Linked DNA regions of Coturnix japonica. The main gene of each other region encodes a partner of the protein of the gene in region 2 in a complex. Links are inferred from orthologs where the notes say so. Each region holds a gene or a part of one and is shown on either strand. Other genes may lie near its edges.

Region 1 (15,393 bases), about 39 Mb from region 2:
CAGGAGATGGCAAAACAGAACAAAAACCCGGTGAGAAAAAGAGGGGTGTCAAGAGACCACGTGAAGACCACGGCCGTGGATATTTTGAATACATTGAAGAAAATAAGTACAGCAGGTAAATAAGCTTTCAATGCTGGGCACCATTGTATGAGTGAGGAGAGGTAAGATGGGCTTACTCTAAAAAAGCGTTTCCTCTTACATTGGAAGAGCGCCTGGCTTCATTCTTCACTGTTTTCTTCTTAGGGCCAAGTCCCCTCAACCACCTGTTGAAGAAGAAGATGAACACTTTGATGACACAGTGGTGTGTCTCGATACCTGTGAGTAGCCATGCTTTCCTTTGGTCTGCAGGGATACCAAACTGTCTTTAAGCTTAAAGCCCCACATTTCAGAAATACGGGGTTAAACTGTTTGGTGATTTGCATTACCAGACAACATAGAAATGTTTGATCCTTGCGTTTTAGCATACAAAAGGTATATTAGTCTTCATATTAACAATATTCAGCTAAATTTTTACCTGGAAGTATGTGATGTGCTAATTTGCTGAAGAAATCCTAACTGAAATGGTAGAGTTGCATATGGCAAAACTGACTGAGTGTTCAGTATGTATAGGTGATGCTTGAAACAACCTGAGGAACTGATAACAGCACATCAGCTTCTCACTTAAAGAACCAATAGTAGATAGCTATGGTAGTAAAACGCCTGGACTGAGATTCCTGCATAACTCACTGAAGCCTTATTGATGTATCAACAAGTTTGGGGTTTCTTCTGCTGTTTTCTGACAAATTAACAATCAGCTTAAGTCTGCTGGGAAAAAAACTAAATGACCCATTCGTGTATTCTGAGAGTTGGAGGTGGTTTGTGTAAGTACTGCTGTGATATACCATGACCAGGGTAAAAACCTGTGTTCTTATGGGTAAGTATCAGTTGTTACTGTAGAATTTAAAACTTAAGGTAATGCATTAACTTGTCAGATTCTTTAAATTCCATGAAATGCGACCTTAAGTTTTGGCTTCATTTGGCATATTTGCTAGTAGTTTCAGGTTTTTTCTTCCTGAGAAATGTTTTGAAATGGAAGGAGGCATTAGTTTACAGCCACGTATTTTGCTGAATATGCCATTATCTTCCAACGTGGTGAGTAGCCATCTTTGTGGGAGTCCTTAACTCTCCCAATAACTGACTGGTAGCTACTTCTGATTATTGTATCTAGTAGAAATTTCTGTTACCCACAAACAGTAACTGAAAGTGTCAGCAGGCTGTTGGGAGCACCCCATCAAGCACAGCTTTAAAGAGTGAATTGTATAACAGCTTGGCTCTCTTGACTATGACAATCCATGTATAAGAGGTTTAGTGCTCTTAAGTGCTTCTTGTGTCTTAGAAGAACATTTTGGCTAGAAATTGTTGTGTGTTGCTTTAAAAGTAACCTACACTGTTTTATTCTGCAGATTGCTTTTGTTTGGCTTTCCTGCTACAACTAGAAGTATTAATGGGAATGCTTAAGTCCTAACTATAGCCACAGATGGCTTTGTGCAAACAAGATCTCCTGTTTGAGAATTACCAGTAATACAGGGACAACTGCAGTTTAATATGTGCGGGCATCATGTAGACTTTCTGCTAAGGCGGAAGATACTCTGGTTGCTAATTTCACACCTTTCTTGTAACTGTCAAATAGGTTCAGAGTTTCTTCTGTGGATTCCTTACTCTGGGGGATTCAAGTGCCATATCCTGCACTTCACGTTCCCACTTTGTGTTGTCATTTTGAAAGCTACTGGAAGATAAATCTGAGACTTTACAGTGCAGCAGTCCCGAAGATGTCTATATAACAGAGGTTCCATTTAAGGCTCCTAGGGTTTTGTCAGGATGTTGAGTTCATGCTGCAGATCATGATTGGTTTGGGTTTTTGTTTTTACACGAAATGAGCTCACTTACCATGTGCTGTGTGCTTATCTGCACTTAACTGACTTTATTTTATTGGCTTAATCTAATTGGACTTGGCTAAAGGACTGTATATCTCCTGAAGATGGTACTACTTCCAGTACTTAAACAGAAATACCCGTGTTTGTACTTAGTGCTTTCAGACATTAGGGGTAAGGCTTGACAAAAAGGAATCTAGCAAGTAGCTCTGAGAGCAGCATGCATCTTCCAGATACACTGCATTGGATAACTGACAAAAAAGGTTGAAATAGGTGAGATGGAAGCCAAGTATTTATTAAAGCTTGGGAACTTAGTAGTGGAAGATGGCACCATGCAAATCATGTTTGTTGTTAGTTGCATTTACCTCAGTTCTTTGGCATGTGTCCAGTTGTCCTCCTGCCTTTACCAAATGGCAGCTTAAAATCACCTTAGAAAACTGGAGTCACTTTTAATGCATGAAATGAGAAAGTTTTGCTTTGTTGGTGTTTAGCTTTTCTTTTTTGTGGGTTTGTTTTGCTTTTCTTTTGTTTTTTAAACTGAAGTATGCAATAATTTTTGTTAACAGATAACTGTGACCTGCATTTTAAAATCTCAAGAGACCGGTTTAGTGCTTCCTCACTGACCATGGAAAGCTTTGCTTTCCTTTGGGCTGGGGGGAGAGCTTCCTATGGAGTTTCTAAAGGCAAAGTCTGCTTCGAGATGAAGGTAAGACTTTCATTTTTGTGGGAGGCTGTTTTAGGTGTTAAATATTACAGTGTTTATATTTCAGTGTTAGATGTTAAAGAAAGCATTATGTAATGATGCAGAGAAATGGCTCTCAATGAAAGATGCCTTAATTTGCTAAACTGCTTTCTCTCTTTAAGAAATTAACTTGAAAATAAAGCTGCATTTGACATGACAACGTAACTTACTGTCATAGTTTTAAACAGAGAATTTTAGGCGGCACTTGATGCACCAGAACATAAAGAATTAGAATAGTAGTTGGGAGCTCACTTGTGTTTACTTCATGAAGATTACAGAAGTTTGGATTTACCAAACTTTTGAGTTGGAATGGAAAAGGGCAATCAGCCTTACAAGAAACAGATTCCTCCCACTTGTCAAGGAAGAAAATCAGGAGTCACAAAGTCAAACATCTTGATTTTTAGCAGCGTTAAAGCCTTATTTGCTGAAGATGTGTGTGGACATGTGCTTATTCTGTTCACTTTTTTACTACTTCCAAATGTTAACTGCTCACATATGAGTTGGTAGTGATCCCATTCATTGGTGACTGTAACTCTGGGAGGACAAGAACATGAAACATTGTATTTATTGTCTTGTTACTCTTCAGACTTTCCCTTGGTCACATGACTCAAATATTTGTGGAAACCAGTGGCCTGTGATTTTTTTCCCCACTTAAATTTGATGCTATTTTCTACAAGGCGATTAGAGGAGCTGGTTGCCTCCAGCTCGCAGTGCTCCCAGGCGAGGTTTTTGAATCTGGTTCTGTTGTTTGGTAGTTGGCAATTTGCCTGGGATCTCTGCTTTCTCTGGAAAAGGGTGTAGTATTTCCCTGGGTCTGTCTGGAGAAGTGTTCTCATCTCATGCCACACTTTATTGGCAAAGCAATTCGCTGTTAATCCCGATGTTGTAGCAGAGTTTCTAATTGATTATATTCCTTGCGGGCTGTAATTTTAACGCAGTATCAAGAGGGTTGATATTTTTGACTATCAAGAGAATGCTGTGATTAAGTGCTCTGAAGGTACGTGATGTTTTGCATCTCCGTCAGTCAAGGGATTTGAACATTTAGTGACTGCTTTGTGATTTCACAGGCATGGTTAAGTCTTGTACTTAAGCAAAAAAACTGTTATTTGGACTTGTAAAGATGTAAGCAGAGAATAAAGGTTCTGGATGTTACCATTGCTTCTTTCTTGTTGGGATCTTAGAAAAAAACACTCAATAACTTTTAATGAATAATTTAAAAATAGGTTACAGAAAAGATTCCTGTTAAACACCTGTATACAAAAGACATTGATATACATGAGGTGCGAGTTGGCTGGTCGCTGAACACAAGTGGAATGTTGCTCGGTAAGACCTCAAGTTTTTCTTCTGTGTTATATTGTCTGTGGTTGAAATTTTCCTGTCTGACTAACAGAAAAGCATCTGTAAAACTGAACGATTGTAGCCCGTGTGTTTTGAAAAGGGGTTTTGAGTTATTAATGGATGTTGTGGAAGTTTAGTACTGGGACCAAACAAGGTTAACTATTTAAGATTTTGAGATTATAAGGTTTACGCATAGAAGGAAAATTCGTAGATAATTGTGTTACTATTCTCTTGGAGTTGGGGAGTCTTATTTCTAAACAGCTGGAACAACAAAAAACAACTTCAGTAGATAAGTGGGATCAGATAATTACTGTATTTTTAACTAATAGCTGCTGATGAGATATGTCTGAAAAATGTGTACGAATAGGGGTATTCTGATAGCAGCAACTTTCTAGTTATACGTACTTAAATTCCATCTGAGTTCTTGTGTTTGACGTTTGCTGTTAGCTTGTTCCTTGCAGCTTCATCCTCAGCTGTCGCATAGGCTGAATGTCTGCTAAACTCCCTTTAAAATGGGGAGGGGTAAGTGCTGCTGGAGACTTAATTCAGAAATGCCTTTCTGACTAACTGCATTACAGGTATACTGATTCACAAACAGGTTTTCAGGGTTTAAGAATACTTACTCATGTCTTTAGCTAGAAGTGTTCAGCATTTTGTCACCAAGAATCTGGAACCAGTAGCATAAAGCTTTTAAGGTTAGGGTGAGGAAAAAACTGCTGTTCCATTTTAAATGACACTATTGAATTCTTAAATGCAAGAAACAGCTGTAGCTATTCTGAGGGTGATGACTTGTTTTGGCATCAATGAAAACATTTAGAACAGCAGTTCATTTAAGTAATTGTGAAGTAATTGCGTTTCTGAACAGCTAGAAGAAAATACGTATTATTACAAAGTTTAAATTTCTTGTTCAGGTGAAGAAGAATTTTCTTACGGCTATTCTCTAAAGGGAATAAAGACATGCAATTGTGAGACTGAAGACTTTGGTGAGAAGTTTGATGAAAATGATGTGATTGGATGTTTTGCTGTAAGTTTTCTCTTAAGTTATTCTCTTGAGGAAAAACATCCTTTAATTTTCAGGCTGCTTTGATGTGAGAAGCGGTTGATTTGAAGAAAGACAAGTTATTTAGCGTACTGAGAAGGTAGAAGTAGCATGTATAAGCAGCAGTGGCTGCTGTCAACCTTTCTCATGTTTTCCAAGGCTTTGAAAAGAATAATCATGTCTTAGCACGATCATTGATATTTAAAGATTGTTTCCTAATTTAAGGATCTACTCATTTTATAATGGTGTTATTAGAAGTTATATAAATACAGCCAGTGTGGTGAAATATTAATGTGTTTTTATGCAGTGTGCATGTTTTTACACAAACTAACGCTTTGTCTGTGAAACAGAATTTTGATGGTGATGAAGTGGAGCTCTCGTATTCCAAGAACGGACAAGAGCTTGGTGTTGCATTCAAAATTAGTAAGGAAGTTCTTGATGGGCGCCCACTCTTTCCACATGTTCTCTGCCATAACTGTGCAGTTGAGTTCAACTTTGGTCAGAAGGATGAACCTTACTTTCCTGTACCCGAAGAGTATACCTTCATCCAGAAGGTCCCCCTGGAAGACAGGGTTCGAGGACCAAAAGGACCTGAGCAAAAGAAAGATTGTGAGGTAAGTTTCCTGGTTATCTCAGAAGTTGTTGAGGAGAGATGAACCCAAGTGTTGTATTTTAAGCTGTTAAAGAAAATTCACCTTTCTGTCTGAAGAATTTAATACTGAGTAGCTTGTGCCTCTCTCCATACTAGATTTCCATTAGGGTTGCTAGGCTTAGTTGCTTATTAAGGAATATCTGTGAGCTAGCATCAAATACGGAATGTGTTGTAATAGGTGGTGATGATGATTGGATTGCCTGGAGCTGGCAAGACTACATGGGTAACTAAACACGCAGCAGCAAATCCTGGGAAGTACAACATTCTTGGGACGAATACTATTATGGACAAAATGATGGTAAGTTGATCATTTAAAGACTTGCTGTAAATCCAAGGTCCTTGGCTGCCAGGGAATTCCCTTCAGTCTAAGTAATCTAAGAAACACGTGATCGTTATTTGACTGACTGTGAGTGCTAAAGATGTTACCGTGCTGAGCTACTTCTCATACACAGCATAGCCAGATTTTGAAATTTCTTATGTAATAAATATCAATCAGGAAGTAATTGATGTTTACCCATTTGTTTGTCTCCGTCCTCAGTACAGAAAATACAGCTTGGAGTCAGTAATACAAGTACACCTCAGATTCAGCTGTATCAATTCAAACAAATTCTTTGCTTATAAAAGAAAAAAACTGAATCGGAAGTTTGTATTTATGTATTTTGTATCCCTGAAGCCAGTTGAAAATAACTTTAGCAGAGCAAAATATCAGTTGTGTGTACTGAGTCTACTATAACTCAAATTTCTATAGGTTGCAGGTTTTAAGAGGCAGATGGCAGACACTGGGAAGCTTAACACACTGTTGCAGCGAGCTCCACAGTGTCTTGGAAAATTCATTGAGATTGCAGCTCGTAAGAAGCGGAATTTCATTTTGGATCAGGTAGAAACTTCAGTAAAAAATTGTTAAGGAATTTTGCTATAGGCTGTAATGTAGTAATTAAGTGGGATTAAAGTTATATTTTAATAGCGGTTGTTTCACTTACTGATTTAATGTGCAAAGTTGAGATGCTACTGCAAATGCTTTTCTGAACTTCTATGGGATGTGGGAGGAATAGTGTAACACTTTGATATGAGCTCGTTCGTAACTTTGCATTATGCAGCTTCTTTATGTCCAGTTATTTGTAAACTTCAATGCAAGCTCTTGTAGAGGTGAAGTCTATACACCATAAGTTGACTTCCTTAACTCTTACAATGACAGCTACGTGTAGTAAGTTACTGCATTTTTTTCAGACAAATGTGTCTGCAGCTGCGCAGAGGAGAAAAATGTGCCTGTTTGCAGGCTTCCAGCGCAAAGCAGTTGTTGTTTGCCCAAAAGATGAAGACTACAAGCAAAGAACACAAAAGAAGGCAGAGGTGGAGGGAAAAGATCTTCCAGAGCATGCAGTTCTCAAAATGAAAGGCATGGAACATAATCCTATACTGTGTTTTAGGATGCTGAATATCTGCTTAAAGGATTAAGTAAACCTGAAATCTAAAAATTTACGTTATCTTAAACAGTTGTACTTAAACAAAACTGGAAGACTATTGTAACTTGTAGGACAACACTATATTGTGTTCCCTCTGCTGCAGTCCTTAACACTACTCATTTATGCTGATATGCTTCATGCAGATGCACAAAGCTGTCTTGGCATAAAGTGCCCTATTTAAGTGACATATTTGGCAGAAACTGATGTTCTGAGTGGAGGCTTATAAAGGGAAAAAAAAAAAGCATAGGCAGAATGCTTTCAAGGTTTGGAACAGTACTGGCAACTCCATGGAGACCCTTTTATTTCTTTTGTCACTCTTACCTTTCTTTACTGCTCAAATTACGTAATTTTGTCCCTATGCTGAGAGAATGTTGGGGGTGGGAGGAAGAATGAGAGAGAAAGGTGGTTAAATGCAGCTTGAATTGTGGCTGAATGGAGATGCTGAATACTCAGTGTTTTTGCAATTATAGGGAACTTCACACTGCCAGAGGTAGCAGAATGTTTTGATGAAATAATCTATGTAGAATTGCAAAAAGAAGAAGCTCAGAAACTCTTGGAACAATATAAAGAAGAAAGTAAGAAATCTCTTCCGCCAGAAAAGAAACAGAACACTGGCTCAAAGAAAAACAAGAAGAGCAATAAAAATCAGTTTAATAGAGGGCAGAGGGGGCGTGGAGGATTCAACATGCGTGGCAACTTCAGAGGAGGAGGTGAGCCTAGAAATAAGTGTATAAATGTTGGGGATAACGGATTGCAAAAATAAGAAAGGAAAGCTTGTCCTATTTGAATTGCATCCATTCTGTGACAGTATCATCGATTTCAGTTCCAGTAAGTTTTTAATAGCTTGACCTTTAGTGCAAAGCTAATTTTCTGACACGTTACAACTGAGCTTCACAAAAAATGTTGCTGTTTGTGTAGTTTGAGGTACAATTTTAAGTTCTTACAGTAAATCTGGTGCTTCCTTGTGTAGAACGCCATATTAAGGGGGCATTTGGTATCTTTATGTTGCTTGGCCGTCATGGATAAAAGGTTATTTTGAAGTGTTTGCATTGGAACTTCTGCAGTGAATTTTGGCATCTCGTTTTTTCACCTTTTAAGAGTCTTTGTTTGAAGCTGTAACTGCGTGAGAGACAATTAAGGCCTAACAGGTACTTGAATTGAGCAAACTTTTCTCTGCAGTCCCAGGCAATCGAGGTGGATACAACAGGAGGGGAGGCAATATGCCACAGCGTGGTGGAGGTGGAGGTGGCGGTGGTGGCGGCAGCAGCGGTGCCATTGGCTATCCTTATCCTCGTGGCCCTGTCTTTCCTAGCAGAGGTGGCTACTCAAACAGAGGAAATTATAACAGAGGTGGAATGCCCAACAGGGGAAACTACAACCAGGTAATGCTTGTCATGGAGGAGTTACTAGTTGATATGCAGTACTCTGGATACTGTTCTGTTGTTGACAGGCTTGTTAGCTGTGGATAGTAGCAAGCTTGGTACACTTAGTTCCACAGCAAAAGATTTAACTTTCTAGCTAAGAGTACATGCCTGGAGCTGTAAGAACTGTGAATGCTGATGCAGTGGTTTCCTAGTAAGCCTATCTTAGTCCTGATAAAGCTGAAGGTTTTTAGAGTTTCTGTTCCATTGTAAAGCACTTCATAGTCTGAGCTTCATTTATAGAATGTGGGTCTACCCTGTGCAGTTTATGCTTAAGTCTGGCTTATAGTCCAACTGTTTGAGTTTAACTAGAGTTGGGTTTTGATACTGCACAAATTGTGCAGAAGTCCGTATAAGAGCAGCCATACTAACAGGTGGTTTTGTTCCCTCATGCTGTCCAACCTGCAGTATCAGTAACTGTTGTTTGACCTTAAGGGCAGAGTGTATCTGTTCAGAAGATAAAGTGGATGGCATTTAAAGAATTTTCTGGAAATTGCTCTGGAAGGAGTCTTTGTATTGACATCTTGTATCAAATCATGAAAGACATGCTAGCTTTGGTCTTAAACTGACAAAGTATCAGTGAAAGCACTTGAAAATATGATTCTGATTACTGAAGAGCCAGTAGATGGAGCCCAAGCTAATAAACATGGCTCAGGTTTGTCTAACACAAATGGGAAATGCAGTATTTTATCATAGATAGTCTTTTGTACAAAGGCTTTTATTTAAAGTTTTGTGATCTAACTCCTCTATTTTAAGTTGTATGACCCATATCCTTTTGTCCGATCAGATAACATAGCAACTACAATCTTCCCTAACTAAAAATAGGCAAGCTCTAGTATTTTTAGTTGTCCTAGTGCAGTTTAGTAGCTGGATATAGGGTGAGTCAAAACTGGATTAGCCAGCTTTCCAAACCATTGGCAACTGTAGTCTGTGTCTGGGGTAAAACCGCTGCCACTAAACAGGCAGGTTTTAAGAGGCAGCTGCTTGAGGCTGGCTTTTGGTATTTAACCCAGCCCCGTTACTGATACTTGAAAGATTGGGTATGGCACGTGTTTTGGTGGCAGTAGAAGGACTGGTGTTGCTGTGTTTCTGCCAAGTCTGCATGGATGAGGTGGCTCAAAACTGTTGTCCTCTTGCAGAACTTCAGAGGAAGGGGGAATAATCGTGGCTACAAAAACCAATCTCAGGGCTACAACCAGTGGCAGCAGGGTGTAAGTAGTAATAACTAAACTTTTTCCTCTTAATTTGACTGTTAAGTGTTTCAGAATGCTTGGAAATTAATGTGTAACCAGCACCAGAGAGCAGAATCTTCTAATGCCAAGTAATATTATAAATAGTTCTGCAAAGCTTGATCTGGCTTGATATATCAAGTATCAGCTATGGCGCGTTGGTCTTAATGGCATTGAAGTATTTGGCTCTGTTACTACTGTGTAATGAACGTAACCACCTCCAGTTGTTCTGGGATTTGCTGCTATTTGAGACGATTTTAATCTCAAGTTCCTGGATAAGTTAAATGTGTGTTTAAAAACTCGTTCTCTAAGAAGCGTGTTATGTGCTAACTTAATTAACTATTTTAACTAACTTAAATTAACTATTTATCCATTTATTGCAGCAATTCTGGGGTCAGAAGCCATGGAGTCAGCATTATCACCAAGGATATTATTGAATACCCAAATAAATGAACTGATACATATTTCTCCCAAACCTTCACAAGAAGTCGACTGTTTTCTTTAGTAGGCTAACTTTTTAAACATTCCACAAGAGGAAGTGCCTGCGGGTTCCTTTTTTAGAAGCTTTGTGGGTTGATTTTTTTCTTTTTCTTTTTTTTGTACATTTTTAATTGCAGTTTTAAAGTGATTCGTAAGAGAACCTCAGCATTGTGCACGATAAGAGAATGTGTCAGTATTTCAGGGTTCTACATTTTATCTGTAAAATGTGACTTTTTTTTTTTTTACCACAACAAAAGTAAAACGTTGCTTTGTACCTGGTGTCTTTTTATTAAAGAATTTTCTCCTTTTTCCCCCCATTTACCCCAATTTCTAAGAAACAGTCGTGAGTCGTGTCACAAATACGATCGAAATACGAGCAACCAGATTCGTGTGGAGGCTCCTTGGTAGCCCTCATGAATATATAATGTAAAGCTCCATATTACACTCCATCCTCTCTATAAAGCTTTTGTGTGGGGAGGTGGGAAGGGGGTGGTAAAAGTTTCTGGCAATAAACTAGGACTTTTTTGTAACATTTGGAACTCGATGAGATTGGGGGTGAAGAGGAAACCTGGAGCTCAATAGTGAAGGTGGAGTGTATGTAGAAGCTCTTAAAGTTGTAAAACTTGGTTGCGTTACTTGTGGAGGCTCAAACTTGTGAAGGTACACCACCATAATTTCTTTTCCATTTGTTCTGCATTTTGATTCTGAAAAGAAGCTGGCTTTGCCCATTTCTTATTAAACAAAACTTGTTGTAAATCCAGTTGTCTAATGGGATCTATATGAAGTTAGCTGTGTGTCTGTATAACTTCCCCACCAAATACTGTATACCTAGTGTGCTTGTAGTAGTTACTCCACCATTTTGTAAGCTAATGAAACTGTGAGTCACCCATTTTATATCTAATTTTTAATCATGTCGATTCTCAAATGGGTGTATCTCCTCAGCCTGCTGATTCCTTTTCTCTTTAAAGAAAGTGGGTGGAGAAATTTAACTCTAGACGTTTGTTTGCAATAAAATAAATTCATTTTACTCTTGCTTTGGGATTGTTGCCATCAAGGTCTAAAATCCCTTTAACGCTATAAAGAGGAAGAGAATGTATGGAAGTGACCATGTCGGACAGTTCTGAACTCATTACTTTGTACATGCTGAAATACTTGTGTTTCTTTAATACTCTAAACCAGTGGTTGCTCTGTTAGAGGTGTGTCACATGTATAATCTCACAGCTTAACGGTTACATGCATAGGGCAGAAGTCTTCTGAGTTTCACTTGCATCATGTAAATCCACTTAATCTATTTATTGTAAAATAGAAACTAGGGAAGAAGTAGAGGAGGAAACCGCAGGGACTAGAGGAGAGTTGTCACAGAACGACTCCTGAAGTGAAGCAGAGCGCTTTAACTGCTGTTTTGTTCAGACTTACGCTTTTTGTAATACTGTAGCGATAATGTTAGCTAATAACCTACTGCATCTTAATGCCATGAGTCAGGGAAGAAACACAACTGCTTGGTGTTGGCCTGACAGCGTACATGTGAAAACATTGCTGCCAGCAGCTGGGAGTTGGAGCTGGTGTGCCGAGTTCCTGTTGGCAGTGTACAGTAGATTGCAGAGGCTTTCCCAGCAGCAGCGTAGAGCTAGAGGCAGTGTAGTGTGCTTGAAACCTTCCTCAAATGTTAGTCGATTTCTAATAGTCCTTGAAAGTAACGATAAAGTTGTGTTGCTCTTCTAGCCTTTATAGCAGATGACATTGCATATTGACATTAAACATTAACAGCACCACCTCCTTGTTAATACTGCTTTAAATCATCCCTTTACTTTGAACAAGAACAATGTAAGTTGTCTTTAAAGAAACATTATTTAATGAACTAGAAATATGGGAAATATAAACCCAACTGTTTTTGCTGAAATGGAATTTTCTTTAGACTTGCAAAGCAAATCTTAGTGTAATTAAGTTCCACCTCCCTTCTGCCTTCCTCCTAAGAACCTAACACTTTGTATGGAGTGCTGATCCTTTGCTTATTTTGGTACTCTATAAAATTATATAGTCTTAAACTGAAATATAAGAGCCTACACTTACTATGTGCTTGTAAAGTTTGTATTTTAATGCAAAAGTCTGGGCTGTTTTCTTCTCTTTTCAACATACGGTGTTAATGCCACAGTGGAGAGGAAGGGCTTGAAGTGGCTTCCCATTGAAACAGGAGTATGTCTCAACTAAGAATACTCCTAAATGAGGAATGTTGCCTTAAGGTACTCAGCACTAACTGCTCCCTGTGATTTCAGGTACAGAAACATAAAGCTTCTATGTGCCATCGAGGAACAGTTAGTTCAGAAATGTGATATGTGAGTGTAAGTACTTGCTGTGCTCATTGCAGAGCAGGCCTTCATTTGTGTGAGGCTTGGTTCAGCCTGGGTTCATCCACAAGGGAAAACTTCCTTTAGTTTATCTTAGCGTAGCTATTGCTAAAAGGGAGATTTGTTTTGAAAATTGTTTACCTAGAACATCGCTACTGTTCCAACTAACTTCAATTGCCATTTATTTCCCTGAAAAAGTCTGGTAACTTAGTAGCATCGATGCAAAGAAAGCACAGCTGCATGTTGTCAGCATGGCAGGGCTGAACCATCTGTCATATTGAGTAACTTCACAGCTTATAAGGACTTGTTTACAGGAGGAGAGGTGCCTGTTCCAGCAGCTGTGGTGCTGGTGGGGGTGTAGCACATGCTCGTGGCATATAACACCGTGGCAGGAGGGTGGTGAGGACTGGGGCTCCTTGTAATGCAGCCCAAAGCTGGAGCGCCTGGGCCCTGCCTCCACAGCAGCACCGTGGTGGCTGCTGTATGTCTGAGCCTCAGGAGCAGGGCTGCACTGCTGCCTGTGTCCTGCAGCCCAGTCTGGGGCCTGCTCACATCTTGCTGCTGCAGCTATGGCTGCTTTACTGTAGAGCCGTGTGTATGAGGCCATGCTGGAGACGAGACAGAAGGCTTCCATTTGGAAGGCAAAGCCAACAAATACTTGTGTTGTCTTTGAGTCACTGCGCACAGCAGTTGCTAGGGTACGTGGGGTAACACGGGAGCTCCCCTCACACCCTGCTGTTGGCATGAGGCTGTGTCCTTGGGGCTCTGTGAGTACCTCAAGCCTGGCACTGAAGCATTCTCAGGTAACCTGAGGTTGGGCCCTTACCTGTGGGATGCTGGATTCTAGCTTACTCTCTGGAACTCCTTATGGGAGCCCTGTCCTCAGAGCCAAACCCTGCTGTAAGAAGCCAGCTTTGCTCATGTGTTGGGCTGCCTGGGGGTTACTGGGCAGTGGGGTCTCCATGTGGTGGAGCCTGTGTGCCTCGTGCCTATGGCAGAATGATGTTTGACTGGCTAAAACATTCCAAAATTGCCCTTCTCCCTCAGCACTGCCCCATTTTTTCTGATGGTGGAATAAACTAACCCAGAATTGTGGCAATGCTGTGTGCAGTCCATGCCACTGAGGTTAAAAAAAGTATCAGTGGTATAAGCTGCTGGTTTTTTACATCTCCTTCTATGACACTTCTGTTTGTAATACAAACAGCCAATGATGTCATCTCTTACAGCGTGGAAGTTTCCTTCTCCATGACCCTTTGGAAAACTAGGCCAGTGCTTTGTGGAAGTGCAGCTGTGGGCTGAGCCCTGAGCTGTCTGCCTGAGTTACAGATGGAGATACGGAAGGACTTCTGCAGATGTTCCACAGCTGCATCTGACACTCTCACAAGCAAAAAAGTGCACACACACAAACACACACTGTAATACAGCTCACACTGCTTTGGCCCTGAAATGGGGCAGAGGGTGGGGACAGACAGGAGGCTGCAAGGAGAGTGGAGATTTAGAACAGTAGCTTTGCAATTTAAGTGTTAAAAGCATTGTGAGGTTAGAGCAGTGTCCCTCCTCACACAAAGCTCATCTAGTCTTATGGGAACGACTGCAGTGAGGGAGAGGGAGGCCTCTTGTTACAAAGGTGAGTTGTCATAAGGATCGTAGAGTACAGCTCCCAACTCCACATGGGACAACCCAAAACTCAGACCACGTAACTGAGCATTGTCCAAATATTTCTTACACTCTGGCACTCATGGCTGTGCCCACTGCCCTGGGCCATGTTCCATGCCCACCACCTTCTGGTACAGACCCTGTCCCTCACCCCCAGCCTCCCCTCCCCTGGCACAGCTCCATGCCGTTCCCTCAGGCCCTGTGGCTGTCACACAGCAGAGCTCAGCGCTGCCCCTCTGCTCCCTGTGAGGAGCTGCAGCCGCCATGGCTGTGGCCTTTCCTCAGCTCCGGGCTGGCAAACCCAGGGCCCTCAGGCACTACTCACACACGTTGCCCTACAGACCCTTCATCTTCATAGCCCTCCTTTGGACACTTTCTCATAGTTCTATGTCCTTACGTTGTGGCATCCAAACCTGCACCCAGTGCTGGAGGCTGCAGGAGGCAGCCAGGAAAGCAGGGCCTGGCCAGCATCGGGCTGTATGTGACTCCAGCCTTCTTTTGCCTTTGTGCCAGCGCTGGGAGTGGCAGGAAGTTTCAGCAGTGAGTGAACTGCTGCACGAACTCAGAAGTCGCTCAAAAAGAGAGCTGCTAAATGCTTAACACATTGTAAACTTCAAGAGGGAACAAACAAAGGCAAGTGTAGGAAACCTGTTGTGCAGTCATTCACGCTGGGTGCTTTCTGTCCTTGCACACAAGCTACCTTACAGCAGGTTTTTGTTCCATTTCCTGCTGCAGTAGACGGTCTTTGATCTGCAGAATCACTTAGGAGCTAAGTTGCTGAAATCGAAACTATTTTCACACATACATAGAAAAATACTATGACGTGGTAGTCCAGGGAAGATGCAGTTTTTACATTGAACAGTGATGGTGGAACACACAAGGATCTGGAAGTCCTTGCTCCAGGAGTTACCTCTCCCATAGCTGGGATCAGACAAGCCCTTACTGGGACACCTATGGTTACTGATATGGCTTATAAAAGCAGGTATTTCTTTCCTGGTCTGCACCTGGCTTTAGTTTATGTTACATTAGCCTACATTAACTCTTCCAGAGCTCTTTGCTTACAGTTTCCCCTAAGTTCTAACAAAAACTCTCATTGGATGTGTGGAGATCTGTGCTTG
Region 2 (15,393 bases):
AGGCCAGGTTGGACGGGGCCCTGGGCAACCTGATCTAGTAAATATGTATGTTTGGTGACCCTGCCAGGCAGGGGGGTTGGAACTACATGATCCTTGAGGTCCCTTCCAACCTGGGTCGTTCTGTGATTCTGTGAGAATCAGCAAAATATGCCTGTGGAACTCTGCTGAAAATAGTGGATTGTTTGAAATAACTTTGATATGCTTCAGACAAGCAGTGGAATGGTGCTGTGGCTTGATACCAAGGAGACCTAAAGATATGAACAGTAGTTAATTGTATGTCTGATACTTCATCCAGTGTGTAGTCCACCATCTCTGCCCTGTTGCCAGCTGCTTAAGTGGCATCTCAAGTGTTGTTCACTCAAGCACCACCTGTCAGAAGTTGGGTGTGACTTCTTTCAGGCATCTCTTCTCTATCGGAGTGTCTGGTTTGCCTTCTGATTCTGTACTCTGAGCATTGTGTTTTATACACACACACACTCAGTTCTTCCTGCTGTTTCATATGAAGTTGTTAGTTTTTAGTTTTGGAAGTTATTTTGGAAGGATTACTATTACTGTGGGCATGCACAGAATCACAGAATTGTAGGGGTTGGAAGGGACCTCTAGAGATCGTCCAGTTCAACCCCCCTGCCAAAGCAGGCTCCCTACACCACGTCACACAGGTAGGCGTCCAGGCGGGTCTTGAATATCTCCAGAGAAGGAGACTCCACCACCTCCCTGGGCAGCCTGTTCCAGTGCTCTGTCAAAATAAGGCACGGAAATAAGAACCAGGGGGTTAAGCTTGTGGGAGATTATATACCTTATGCTGCTATAATTTGAAGTATTTTTTGACCACAGCAAATAGAAGTTTGATCAAAGTACAGGTACAGGTGAATTATGCAAGCATTCCCCTGAAGCAGTTTGCCAGCGAGGCCCAGCAGTGCAGCTTGTTCACCACTAGAAATAAACCTTGGGTGAAAGTGAATGAAATGGCGAACCAGATTGTAACCTTACTTCACCCGTCTGTGAATAGGTTCTTGAAGAACTCAGCAAAGTAAGAATGCTCTGTAGTGTCTACAGGATACTAATGTCTCTGTTGGCTTTGGGCGTGGATTCAGTGGTGACAGGAGAGAAAAGCGTTATGCTGCCCTTGCTAATCTTGTGGCCTGACTGTTGTGGCACTTAATCCAGAATTGGGCCTGTGTGTGCCACCACAGAATCACAGAATGACCCGGGTTGGAAGGGACCTCAAGGATCATGTAGTTCCAACCCCCCTGCCTGGCAGGGCCACCAAACATACACATTTACTAGATCAGGTTGCCCAGGGCCCCGTCCAACCTGGTCTTGAACACCTCCAAGGACGGGGCATCCACAACCACCCTGGGCAGCCTGTTCCAGGGCCTAACCACTCTCCTAGTAAAGAACTTCCCCCTAACATCCAACCTAAATCTTCCCTCATTTAACTTAAAACCATTTCCCCATTTCCTGCCCCGTGCCTTATCTAAGTTTGCTAACTATTTACCTAAAAAGCACCAGCTGTATATTTAGGAGCACCTAATTGCAGGCTGCCTTGTCAGAAGTAGGAGAAAGATGTGATAGAAAATAGTAGTTAATATATTGTGGCGTGAAAAACTAATGTCAGTGTGCAAATGCAGTGTGTTAGGATAATTAAGAGGTGTTCTTATTACAAGGTGTGGGAGAGTCATTTGGATTATATGTGGAGTCAGACTTTAGTCTTAGATTTTAAAAGGGACATCAAGATAATGTACTGGGTAAAACTGACTTGTATATTCCATTGAAGAAGCATCTTTTTTGTGTCTTGTATCCAGATGCATAAGGGACTTGCTAGTCCAACTAGTTGGAAATATGCCGTTGAAAATCCTTCCTGCATCTAGAGTTCTTTCAGCTCACTTCTACAGTTGTATAGCTTTGACAGTTCTCAGTTACACAGGGTTTTTTGGTTTTTTTTCCTACATGTATGTCTAAATAATTGTACATCTTCACCCTCATTTTTAGTGCATTGAACAGGAAGGGGGTGTGGAAGACTTTGCATATGTGGGAAAGTGTGCCACCAGGCACAGAACCACTTGCTAGATTAAATAGCTGGGTTGAATTTTGAAATGCTACTCTACTGCTTGTCAATAAAACACTGACCACAAAACACATTTTCCCAGCTGAAGAACTGCCTGTTGCTGGGCTTGCAATTGGAAAAGCGTTGATGTGCCACCATTTGACCTCCTTGCTGCTTATTTGGATGATACATGTCTGTCTGCATCCTAGTGAAAGGCACTTTCTTTGTCAGCAGTTGCCTGCAGTGGTGTATATTTTTCCTCTTGAACGGCTGATATGTTCAGGCTGCGTGTTTTGGGAGAGGCATTTGAACAGAAATCTTAGGATTTCAAAGCAGTGGAAGGTTCTGCTGCTTATTGTCTGTGTGTAATCTACATGCTTTGGAAAGAATTCAGCTATTGCTCTTGCATGCTTTGCGGAGAAGACCTGATCGTGGCCGTCTGTCTTTTGTGAACTACAGACTTTTGGAAGGGAATCTGACTTTAATTGCAACACCTGTCTTCTGTTATACACAATTCAGTTTAAGAATTCACAGATGCAATCTGTAGAGGAACTTGAGTTTCTTTCTGTGCTGCTGTGAAAGGATTACTTACCCTTGCCCATTGTGAGCTGGACATAATCGTAACTTTTCATAGTTCCACAAAAAATCTAAAGAAACTTGTATTAAGAAACAGGCTTGAACAAAAACCAAAGGTAGTTGTTGGCTGTTGCATGAAGGCAGTCTAGGGAACACAGTTATAGTGCAAAGTAATTGAGTATATCTCATAAGAATGTTCTAAATGTCAAAGAACATACCACGTTACTAGGTGTTACACTTTTAGAAGTGAAGTATTTGATAGTGCTGCTGTTGGAGATGAAAGTTATCCAACTAATGGTTATCTGTGGTTTTTTTTTCAGTACAACAATCACGAAATTCGCTCTGGGAAACACATCGGTGTATGCATCTCTGTTGCCAATAATAGACTTTTTGTTGGTTCCATCCCTAAGAGTAAAACCAAGGAGCAAATTGTTGAAGAATTCAGCAAAGTAACAGGTAACGCAGTAACTGTTGTATTGAGCTGGGAAGTGTCGGATGTGATCAGTAATGAACTTTCTGCCATCTTTATCTTGTTGAATGATGATGACTGATAGGACTCAGCATTTCCCTTGACTTTGGGGATTTATGGGTTGTTGTTTAATGTACTGTGCCAAGGGCTGAAATCTGTAATTAGACTTGGTGTGTAGGTCCAGTTTTACTGAGACACGTGTAATGTTTAGAAAGGCCATTCAAACAAACGTGTGGTTTAATTCTTTCAGTGCTAACAGGTATTTCAGAAACTTTTCAAGACAGAACTGAAGCAGATTGGAGAACATAACTAGTTTTGTGCTTCAGAATTGCTAGCGTTCTGATAAGGATCTATTTTTGTTAATAGCATATAGACTTGAAAAGGTAATGTTGTATGGTTTCTGTTACTGAATGCTGTACTTAAGGTTTCCTGGAGCAACACTGAAACAATTTAGAAGTATTGAAATCATGCAAGTTTAACCTTCTGTTCTTTGGACATCCATGGAAAAAGCACATGCTGATAAGTGTTGTGACATAGGGGTTTGAGAGGAGTTACAAAATGCAACTTTATGGCTGCCCTCTCTCCTCTGGTCAGTGAGAAGAAAGGTATTCTTCCATAGTTTCTAAGCTTTCCTCACTTAATAAAAGGGTTGCTAAGCTGGGATAGACTAACATCCTTTTGGAGATGTTGCTCTTGAAAGTGTGGAAACTTTAATATGTTCATAGGCTCAAAAGTCCAGCATGATCATGCTTTTTGGAACCACTAGTTAGATGTGTACTTCCCAGAAACATAATCTCTACTTGTGAACATCAAGTCATAGACTAAAGCTATAACAAATAAATTCTTTGCTTAATTTCAGAGGGCCTTACAGATGTTATATTGTATCATCAGCCTGATGACAAGAAAAAGAACCGGGGTTTCTGTTTTCTTGAATATGAAGATCACAAAACTGCTGCTCAAGCCAGACGTAGGTTAATGAGCGGCAAAGTGAAAGTCTGGGGAAATGTTGTTACAGTTGAATGGGCCGACCCTATAGAAGACCCAGATCCTGAAGTCATGGCAAAGGTAATAAAGCTGTAAGAGAAACGTAGTAGAATTAAAATACCTTGTTCCAGAGTAAGTATTTCCTGATATTAGCCCAGGTTTAAATAACATCTGTCAGTCTTCTTGAATATAGATGTGAATTTTTAAATAACTACTGTCTGATGTTATCTCATTCTCCCAAGGAAGAATTGGTCCATCTGCTGGTGTACTTAATTTCTCCTCTGGAAGTGGATGTAGTGACTCCAAAAACACAAATAGCTTTTGTAGTTTAGGATTTGATTGCACAGAAATTTGGCTATGGTCAGAGAACAAGCCTGAATGATTTGTAACCCTGGAAATGCATGTTTATAACTTAAGAAGTGAAACATTTAAGATGTGCAGATTGGACTTTTCAGAGATGTAGCAATAGCTTTTGAGAAGATGACCAATTATTTTGTACTTTGAACTATGTATTTTTTTTTTTCCTTTCTTCATTACTTTGGCAGAGTGTTAATTCCTTAAAATGTTATGACTGGATTTTGAGTATTTCAGTTAAGCTTAAGTCTGAACTCTAAACATTGTGAAGTACACTGCAACACTTCCATTATACATATGATATTTTGCCATAGGAATTGATTGCCTGATTTTTTTTCTTCCCATCAGATAATGTCCAAGTCTGTTGTTTTCAGTTCTGTTGTGTAGCTGGGTTGTTTGATAGAAACTCATAGCTAGCTCTTATCCTCATCTCTTCACTTGCTTTTTGCCCGTGCTTTTATTTTCACCTGAGACAAATCACTTGCTGGAGTCTTGCTTTGTTGGGCCTAGTAAGATGACTTGGCTGAGAATCTCCTCTTTGCTGGTCCATAAGAAAAAAGGGCTGGAGCAGGGGCTCACTTTTAGGGGAAAAAAATAATCTGCTTTTGTAGTAAGGGCATTGCAGAAGCATTTTGGAGTACCCTGTTTTCAGGCTTTGTTTTTCTTGCTATGTATTGTAGTTGATCAGCAACAGGAAAGAATCTGTTGAGAGTGGCACTTCCTGCATCTCTGTCTGAATTTCTTGGCTCAAAAGAGAGCCATCCTAATCCAACATACTGTTAAACTAAAGAACCTCTGATGACTTGGTCACATAGTTAAGTGGGAGGTGGAAGGGACATCAGTCCCTATCAGTGTCTTTCTGTGGTAAACTTGCAAGTGTAAGGAATGGAAGACTGAAGAAATTAAAACTTGGTAGTGTTTTGTCCCGTATAATTTTTTTAAGGTGTCACCCTTTCAATACCTTGTGTTACTTTATATTTAAGTGGGAACCGTGTAGGGTTTGTGTAGGGAGCCTGCTTTGGCAGGGGGGTTGGACTCGATGATCTCTAGAGGTCCCTCACAACCCCTACAATTCTGTGATTCTGTAACTACAGGTTGGTTATCGGTGTTCCCAGCCACTGCCCTTCATGAGCAAAGGGAGAGTGCTTGACTCTTGTATGCTTCCTTTGGTAGAAGGCTCTGGGAGGAGTGCTGTAAGAGTAGAAGGTTGCTTTTATCAGGGCAATTATTTGATCTGCAGTTTTCTCATCCAAACTACTAGAAAATAAAGTCCATAAGAGCAAATGGTGTTGAAGGCAGATTTACCTTGAATTAGCCAGGGTATGAAAGTGATGTTTGAAATACCTAGCAAAAAAGCTTTTTTATAACTTTTAAGTAGTTGTGCTGATAGTTTTCTCCTAAGCAGCATTTTGATGCTGCTCATGTTTTAAATTATTTCTGTAGCGTGGTTGTGGGTACAGAGCATGTGCTGGATTGGCAGCTTAAGTAGCTAAATAAAGTCTGGTTCTCATGGCTGTGTGGTAGATGATAGGGCAGGAAATAGGGATACTAACCCCTGGAGAATGTAGTAACAGAGTTTGAAGTGCTTGTGCTGTAGGTAGGAGGAGGAAAAGGACCAGATTCAGACTTTCTGGGGGTAGTTCAATCTTGAGCAGTTCACAAGTGGGTCCTGCATTTATTACACAATGCTGCTGTGCATTTGCATGCCGAATAGCAGGGTATATTTGTTGTTAGATGTGTATTGGTGAATTCTTGGTTACAACCTCTGAGCCTTAACCAACTGCGTTTTTTCTTGAAACCTCTTCAGCTTAAATGAAATAAAAGTGATTTCATCATCACTCAGCCCATGCTTCAGTTTTTCTCTTAGCATTGACACCTGTGTCCTCCCCCCTCTACTCTGCCCTGGTGAGGCCTCATCTGGAATATTGTGTCCAGTTCTGGGCTCCCCAGTACAAAAAAGACAGGGATGTCTTGGAAAGAGTCCAGCGGAGGGCCACTAAGATGGTAAAGGGCCTGGAGCATCTCCCCTGTGAGGAGAGACTTAGGGAACTGGGTCTGTTTAGCCTTGAGAAAAGAAGGCTGAGAGGGGACTTGATCCAGGTTTATAAATACCTGAGGTGTGGGGGCCATAGTGGTGAGGCTGGTCTCTTTTCAGTAGTGCGTGGGGACAGGACTAGGGGTAATGGGATGAAAGTACAGCATAGGAAGTTCTGCACGAATGTGTGGAAGAACTTCTTTATGGTGAGGGTGACAGAGCACTGGAACAGGCTGCCCAGGGAGGTGGTGGACCCTCCTCTGGAGATATTCAAGACCCGACTGGATGCCTACATGTGCAACGTGGTGTAGGGAGCCTGCTTTGGCAGGGGGACTGGACTCAATGATCTCTAGAGGTCCATTCCAACCCCTACAGTTCTGTGATTCTGTGTTGATTGGTTCAGATACGCATTTCACCTGTAAGAACAACAAAGGTGTTAGAGATCAATGTATCCAACTGCACAAAAGAAAATTTAAACTATTTGTGTTTTTGAAAGTGTCACATTAGAGCAGTTTGTACTAAGAAATAAAGATTATAATCTATATGGTTTGTAATCATATCTGACACAGAGAATGTCAGCTGCTGTGGTCTTACTGTTGAAGGCTACTTAGGAGTCTTGTGAGAACCGTCTCTGATTTTATCCCTTCTTAAAGCACAAGAATAAGCAACATTGGTGTGAAAGATACCAGTTCTAAAAGCAGGCAGTTACGTGGCAAAACATTTGTAGTTCACTTTTTTAATTAAGGCATGGTTAAGATATCTTGCTTGTGCTAGGAAGGCTCGTTGACAAATGTTAACATGGGACAGGAAGAAGCTTTCCTTGTGGAGCTGGCTGCAACTTCTTTCATCCCCCGAGAATCTTCCAGGGTAGCTATTGCCAAAGGCTGAAGTTGATTATCTAGATCAGATTTATGGTCTGCAGTGTCCTTTCATCCCATCCTAACTCTGCCATCTAGTGAGACGAGGATTTATAGAAGTCTGTTCTGTTTATTAGTAACCTAATTACATGGTCATACACATAGTAATTATGTATTATACATACAATTAGATGTTTGGGTGTTCTAAATTCCTATACTTTGTAGGAGCAGGGGTTATAGTTTCACTTCAGAAAGTTGAAGCATGCTTTCTTTGGTTCCTTTGTAGCCTATGTTACTTGTGTTGACCTTTAGGATTGGAAATGGGAAGTCAAATACTGTCATAGAGCACGTTTGCTTGCTTTTATCACCATCGGTAGTGGGGGAGGGTGTGGACAGAGGTTGCAGCTGCACTGTAGGAAAGTAGCACTGTAACTTCGGGACACAATGGCAGCATCTGAAAGGGACTCCCAGAATGCAAGAGAGAACTCATGGGTGATGTCGTGCAAAGGTAGTGATAATGCACAGTTCATTTAGTGCAGTGCTAATGTGGGGAGGAAACAGGTTTTCAGTTGGTTGGAGGTGGCTGTTTTCTTAAACGAAGGGCTCAGCTTGACCTGTGGAAGTCCAAGAGTGGCCTGGCAGTGTCAGCCTCAATGTCCCGTTCTGTGTTTCTTCCCTCTTCTGGATGTGGATTCAGCTCACTGAGTGTTTCTCAGGCAAGCACAGTCCTGCTGCTCTAGTATTTGGTGTAGCTGTAGCTTGGGAGCCACAAGTTAAGCAGCTTGAGAGCTGCAGGCCTGTCACCTCTGACCTAGATATTACAGTGATGACTGTTCTGCAGAAACCTGTCTGAACAATGGGATGTTTTGATAAGTTAATTATTTTGTGTGTAACCAATCTCGCTTGCCTTCTTTCAAGTTTGAAGGTGTTCCTGAGTTGAAAATTAGAGCTGCTGGGATTCTTTTAAAGATTAACAAAAACGCTGTTGACTTTCAGGATGCTAGTGCTATGTAATCATGTTTGAAAATGGATCTCATATTTTTAGCAGCGAGGGATGTTTGCAGCCAACTTGTGCTTATAGGAGCGTATAAATTTCCATATCTACATACATTAAACACTACATTTAAAGGATATTTTCAGTGCTCCCAATAGTAACAACTTGCAAAGCTTTATTTTGTCTTTTGGATCACACTTCTAAATCTTAACTAATTTGTTTTCCAGGTAAAAGTTCTATTTGTCCGCAATCTTGCCAACACTGTAACAGAGGAGATACTAGAAAAGGCCTTCAGTCAGTTTGGAAAGCTAGAGCGAGTGAAGAAGCTAAAAGACTACGCTTTCATTCACTTTGATGAACGGGACGGTGCTGTAAAGGTACGTGGAGAGAGTTGTACTTGTGTGTGCATGCTCGTGCAGGTGTGAAAACAGTTACTAAATATATAGTTTAGATGATGTATTTCTTCTAACTGTGGAGGAGTGCTAAGGGTTTTTGCTGTAAACATTCATCTCTGGGAATCTCCTATAAAAAAAACACCAAAGCGTTTGTTAGCTTGAAAGACTGCATCTTAGGTGCATGTATCCTGAGTAATTCTCTGATGAGTATCTAAGATAATCATACCTGTAATTTGAAATAGAAAGTGCCAGAAGTTGAATGACTTCTCAATGAATTTTCAGTAGACGCTAAAGTCATTTCTCTAAGACAAGCAAGATTCATTTAGGTAAAAACCTATTTTCTAGGAGCTGAGCAACTTCATTTTTTATGGTGTAGAATAAGCACCTTTTCTTTTTGACAGGAGGTTCAGGACAACTGAGGAATTGTCACCCCCGGATTTTGTTAGCCTGGTCTTTTCTCTGGTCATCTGTTGTTAGGAAGGGAAAGTGCATTTCCTCTCCTGCCTGTAGTCTATTTTTTTTTATTATTATTATTTTAATGTCCTGTGGGAGGATACAGGATACAGGGGGATTTAGCTTTTCTTGTTCATCCAAATGTCTTGAAGCAGATGCTTAGGAAGATGATTGAAAGAGTCTTCTCACAGGATACACATCCTGTTGAGGCTTGGCTATGTAGAATCCTTAAAAGCTGTAGAATCTTCAGGATTCCTCTGCTTGAAGTGAACTTTTAGCAATTACTGAAACTTCCTTAATTGAGAATGAGACTGTTACTTTTTGGCTTTAAAAAAGAAACAAATTAACGTGTAAAAGCACAAAACCACACTGATTTTTTAGTCTTAGTAGTGTTTGTATTTATGCTGACAGTAGAAATATATTGCCTTACTGCAAAGTTTTCCTTAGTGTCTTTTCAGAAAGCAGTTCTGCCACTTCATTAATTGAAACAACTTGAAAGGATTTGAGGTCTATTCAGAGTTTTGAGTGGAAGATTTTTAAACTAATACATGCAGTCTTGGGTTTCAGAGTCAAGTTAAGAGGAAATGCATAACTGTCTGAAACCCATAATATTGTGCTGTCTAATTCTCTTCTTTAGGTTTAAATTGTTGTTTTAGCTGTGGATAACAACATTTAAAATGCATATTCTAAAGGATAGAATAAAATTAATAACTCCAGATATGCTTAGAAGTATATTTAAAGTCTGGTTAATTCCTTCAGGCAATGGAAGAAATGAATGGCAAAGATTTAGAGGGAGAAAACATTGAAATTGTTTTTGCTAAGCCACCAGATCAAAAAAGGAAAGAACGGAAAGCTCAGAGACAAGCGGCTAAAAATCAGATGTAAGTGTAAATGCATGCACATGTGTTGTATTACTTCTGAAAGACATGTATGATCTTAAGAACTAGAACTTCTAGGTAGTTAGTAAGTGTATCATAGTGCACATAGGTTCTTCAGCTTCTCTTAAAATGTTGGATGTGTTTGTGTTTTATGTAAGATCTCGTGGTGTTAGTTGAGAATTCAGTTACTGTTCTGCTCAAAGGGTGTATGAGCACCAGAGGAAACGTGTGGGTTCTTCACTTCTTGTTCTTAAGCTTCATGTATTTCTGCACTGGTCTGTCAGATGGATGTATTTAGTGACATGTGCTCCTTCTAGCAGTCTTAGGAGAATTGATATGGCCACCCCTGAAAGGAGGATCCTGGTATAAGTTTTTGCAACTTCCAGAAGACACATCTGTTTATGAAACTTATAAACTCATCAAGATCTCACTCTCTTGAATGCTTAACATGGCAAAAAATACATTTCATGTCACTGTGTTCTGCTTAATGTTCTCATGTATTTATCTTCTTGGGTATCTTGTAACTTTCCTAACCACCTTCCCTCCCCCCCTGTATTTCCAAAAATAACTTCTGCCACTGCTGCTGCGCAGCAAATGAGAAGACAGGATGGTGGGGTTACCAGATTACTGCAGATCTCCAGATAGTGACCTAACGTACGCATGGAACTGCTTAAGTTTGCCCTGCTTATAGGTCTTGTAACTTTCTTGGCCCTTTTGTTCTTTCCCATTACTGAAAGGAGTTGATCTCACTATTCTTGTGCTTGTATTCTGTGCCATGCCTTTTCTGTTCTGCTTATTTTGTTTGATTATGCATCTTCTTTCTTTGTACACTTTGTCTTGGCAGTAGCACAGTGAATACTTGATTAATTGTAATATAAATTGCTACTGAACGTTGTACGACTCCTTAAGGAAGGCAGTTGTCTGTGTGGTCAATAAGGGTAGTTGTCTCTGGTTGGAGATAAGTTTTCTCTGGATGAATTTGAGTAATAAGAAGTCTTAACATGGCAGTAGACTTCTGATTTTCCAGCTCTTTATTCAGGATCTGGTAATGGTTTGTTTCTGGCAGTGGAAAGGAAGATTTTCATAGGGGGTGTTTGACCAGCTATAATGCTCTATGACTTCCATTCCCCTGCCCCTAACTGTTCTTTGTCTGTGATCTGACATCCAGTATTGCTACTTCTGGATATTGCACATGTATTTAGAACACAGGATGTCTTCTTGCTGTGTAACAACTCTAAGAAGAACATAATAATGTATGTGTATGTTATTTCCCCTGCCCCCTTTAAGAAGCTCGTGTCTAAATTTGTGGATGTAGGTGAAGCAGGGTTTCCTCTCTTGTTTTTTCTCTAGTCAGAGTTACGGTACTTTCAGTCATTCAGTCCCTCTTTCCAGTTCTTTCATTTGGGAATTTTCTATATTCCTTTACTTTTAGGAACTATTGAGGCATCTGAAGTAGGAAAGTTAGTTAGGAAGGGAAGTTAGACTCATTAAGCTCCGGGCTTATTTGAATTTTGGTTATACTATTAATGAGTGAATTGAGAATTGTAAGGGCTTTTGATTTTCTTAGGGTTCTAAAAAGGGAGTAGAGGGATATGAATGTTATTAAGTCTGTATTGTAGTTACATGAGAAGTTTGAAATGACATCCTAAGGTCTAAGAGGTAACTTGGAGTTTGTACTCCATGGTTGTAAAAACGCTTCTGACTTTCTTCTGGAAACTTGCGCATGGCTGTAGATTCAATCTGGTTCATGCATTTTGTGCTTAGTGCATATAAGGGACTTTCTAGTGAGGAAAGTGCATTTTGAATCAGTCTTTTCCTGTTTGAAAGCCATCGTGATTGTCGGGGTAGAACTTTTTAATGCATGAGTTGCGTTAGTGGTATTATTATATTTGAGGGAGAAAGAATGTGAATGAGATCATAAAGTTTGCGATGATTAGTAAGTTGGCTCCATCCTAGGTTTGAAGGGAACAGTTCAAAAGTCTTGACAATAGGGACTTCATTAGGAAATAAATACACATAAAAATCACAGTGATGTTGGAGAGCGACACATCTGCATCTCTAATGGAATGAGTACCCTTTGGTACTTAAAGTATGAACAGTTAGTAAGAAGATAGCAGAATTCCGGCTGAAACCTGGTGGTGATTGTAAGGTTCCATAGCGGCAGAAAGGTCTGGATTGGAAGGCAATATTAAAGGTCTTAGCGATCATTGATAATGTGGGCAGGTGTAAAAGGCATCTGAATGCATTGCTACTTGGAAGAGAAGTTGACTATTTAAAGGGGAGAAGCACTCCAACGATTGGAGAGTTGAGGGGTGTGGGCAGGTAGAATAGTGGTAATGTTACATAGGAGTTGATGAGACAGTCATATAAATATGCATTTTAATAATAATAGCGTGAGAGGATTAGGTTTCAGTTTGCTTGGTCTGCTGCTCCTAAACGAGGGCAGAGTTTCGTTGCGTAGTACTTACTTAATGAGAGGAAATTTTCTGTGTGGTAGGGGCAGAAGTAGATGATTACCTTAGGCGTTAAGTATTGCATTCATAGAAGAAATGTCACTGATAATCAAGTTCCTTAATATTAAGGTTTTTCCTAATGCAGAAGGCAGAAGTGCTTTGTAGAAATCAACCTGTCGTGATAATAGCTACCTGTCACGAAGTAGTCATTCTTGAAGTAGAAGAATATTATGTGCGCGGTTGCTTAGTAGTAGTTCCTTCGAAATCCATGTCGTCTGTTTCCTTTTTTCTAGGTATGATGATTACTACTATTACGGTCCACCTCATATGCCCCCTCCAACAAGAGGTCGAGGCCGAGGAGGCAGAGGTGGTTATGGATATCCCCCTGACTATTACGGATATGAAGATTATTACGATTATTATGGCTATGACTACCATAACTATCGTGGTGGATATGAAGATCCTTACTATGGTTATGAAGATTTTCAAGTTGGAGCTAGAGGAAGGGGTGGTAGAGGAGCAAGGGGTGCTGCTCCATCCAGAGGTCGCGGGGCTGCTCCTCCCCGTGGCAGAGCCGGTTATGCACAGAGAGGTGGTCCTGGATCAGCAAGAGGCGTTCGTGGTGCGAGAGGAGGTGCCCAGCAACAAAGAGGCCGCGGGGTACGTGGTGCGAGGGGTGGCCGCGGTGGAAATGTAGGAGGAAAGCGCAAAGCTGATGGGTACAACCAGCCAGATTCCAAGCGGCGCCAGACCAATAATCAGAACTGGGGCTCCCAACCCATTGCTCAGCAACCGCTCCAGCAAGGTGGTGACTATGCCGGTAACTATGGTTACAATAATGACAACCAGGAATTTTATCAGGATTCTTTTGGGCAACAGTGGAAATAGAACAGTAGGGCTTCTGTAAAAATTAGAGACTGATAGGTTGATCAGAAACTGGCCCTAAATCTGAACGGTTGCCGCTATAATTTGTGACATCTGGCAAGATGCCCTTTATGTATATATTTTAACAATCCGCTTGGACGTGAACAAAGCCACACTTCTAACTGCTTCTGGCGAACTGATTTTATTTTTTATTTTATTTTTCAATAAAGGCATTCTTAGGTATTACAAAAAAAAATAATAATAATAATAGTTGAGTTTGCATTACTGCTTGGGAAAATTTGGCTCAAGTCTATTTGGCTGTAGTGTATGCTATGTTTCCAATAGTATATAGTCTTGGTGTCTATGAAAGGTAGTTGATAAAATCTGAGTGTCTTTAATAACTTGTATCAGAGTAACTATTTGTATGTTACCAACTTAAATTGCTAGAAAAGGTAAATTGATACACAATTGCTTTTTTTTTTAATTTAGAACTTTGACCTAATTTGGTTTTTTCAAAACCATTTTGGCTACCTGTATTCTTTATGCTGTTGTTACTTCAATAAAAATTCACACCTAAGTGTACACTTACTAAAATTGTGTTTACAATTCGTTTTTGACAAATTTTACTGCAAATTTGGTTCAAATTGTGTAGCATGTCAAGGCCAATTAAAGGGTTTTGTGCCTTGTCGCTGTTGTGTGGAATATGTCTGGCACATTACACAACACGGACTTACTGCAGTTTTCTGCTCCTGGTTGAAAAGTGCTAGTTTGCAACAGACTTCATGTTCCCACCAAATGCTAAAGTAGTTCATGTAGTAAGTTAAGTTGGTAAGTATTTAATTTGAAACAATTGTTTACGTAACAAGCTGTAAAGAGGCAGCTTAGAATTGTCAATCCTGCAGAAATTTTTCTTTAGCGTTTCAAGGTCAGTTTTGGCCAAAACAAGTTAACGTAGCTTTTACAGTTTCTCTTTCAAGTAAATGAATTCAGAGCTATAATTTGGTTCTATTTTGCTGGTAGTGAAACCGAAATGCTTGAATTTAAGTAGACTGTGGAAACCTGTTTAATACATGAGACTAGAAACAGGTAGAAATTAGTGGAGGTATTGGAAAAGCATGAATGTTGGAAATTACCAAATGACTTGTCTGTTAAATCCTCTTTAAACCTCCATACGTCTGTTTAAACTTTGCCCCATTTATTTCCAAGCAGGTGCGCGCGCATATGTATGTACATATCTATGAAATATGCATTAAAAACGATGGGTGAGGTTTAGAGCCCTGATATAATATATAGAGACTTTTTTAGTCTGTTTCTTCAGTGGTGCTTTTCAGCTCAATGAGTCGTCTTGAAAACTGCCTTGAAAATGGTTGCTAGGTATTTTTTCATTTTGGCACTGCTCTCTTAGATTCCAAACTCTATATTAAATAACAAAAAAAAAAAAAGAAAAAGCATTAAAAAAAGGAAGGATTGCACCTGAGCAAAGATGTGATCTTTTTCTTTTTAAAGTTATGCCTAAAGCAGTTAGGTTGCTGAAATTCAAACTAGATCACAAGTCACATTATGCTTAGACTTGATTCAATTTTCAACATGTTTTCATGATGACTGCAACCGCAGAGTTTTATATTACTGTTATTGGGACTTTTCTATAATGTAAAGTTGTTTGTGACTTAGTGCGCAAAACCTTAGCTGGTGATAACAAGGTTTAAACCTTAACTTTTTAAATAAAATCAGTTTGTGACAAAGTGGTAAAACACTCCTAGCGAAATTGCAAAGTTAGTGGCAAGCAGAAGGCAAAATGTTCACCTAGTAGTTTTCTTTTAAAGTAATTCGTTTTGCTAAGATTTTATGTTAACAAATGTACAGACCAGAGTTTAAAATGATTTATCTAATTGATTCCTTTTGTTACCTGGCTAGCAGGGAAAAGGGGTCGAGGCCGGTCCTGACCTGTTACAATGAAGACTGACTTGCTATGTGGGATTACACCAGAAGCTTGCAGTGGAGTAATGGTAAGGAAATCAAGCAACCTTAAGTATC

What was found.
Region 1: SYNCRIP (region 2) and HNRNPU share a complex: the UniProt entries of both Homo sapiens proteins name them as parts of the coding region determinant (CRD)-mediated complex. The link is inferred for Coturnix japonica from reciprocal best matches to the Homo sapiens genes SYNCRIP and HNRNPU.

What each region holds. Positions count from the first base shown.
Region 1 is NC_029518.1:31,198,226-31,213,618, forward strand, and holds the end of HNRNPU (heterogeneous nuclear ribonucleoprotein U), read left to right. Parts: intron 1-3; coding exon 4-115; intron 116-243; coding exon 244-317; intron 318-2,476; coding exon 2,477-2,616; intron 2,617-3,875; coding exon 3,876-3,975; intron 3,976-4,901; coding exon 4,902-5,014; intron 5,015-5,379; coding exon 5,380-5,643; intron 5,644-5,859; coding exon 5,860-5,979; intron 5,980-6,429; coding exon 6,430-6,558; intron 6,559-6,908; coding exon 6,909-7,077; intron 7,078-7,614; coding exon 7,615-7,854; intron 7,855-8,323; coding exon 8,324-8,526; intron 8,527-9,704; coding exon 9,705-9,776; intron 9,777-10,177; coding exon 10,178-10,231; 3' UTR 10,232-12,046; downstream 12,047-15,393. UniProt on the Homo sapiens protein: DNA- and RNA-binding protein involved in several cellular processes such as nuclear chromatin organization, telomere-length regulation, transcription, mRNA alternative splicing and stability, Xist-mediated transcriptional silencing and mitotic cell progression.
Region 2 is NC_029518.1:70,023,164-70,038,556, forward strand, and holds the end of SYNCRIP (heterogeneous nuclear ribonucleoprotein Q), read left to right. Parts: intron 1-2,943; coding exon 2,944-3,079; intron 3,080-3,951; coding exon 3,952-4,157; intron 4,158-8,543; coding exon 8,544-8,693; intron 8,694-9,923; coding exon 9,924-10,045; intron 10,046-12,788; coding exon 12,789-13,383; 3' UTR 13,384-14,649; downstream 14,650-15,393. UniProt on the Homo sapiens protein: Heterogenous nuclear ribonucleoprotein (hnRNP) implicated in mRNA processing mechanisms. Component of the CRD-mediated complex that promotes MYC mRNA stability.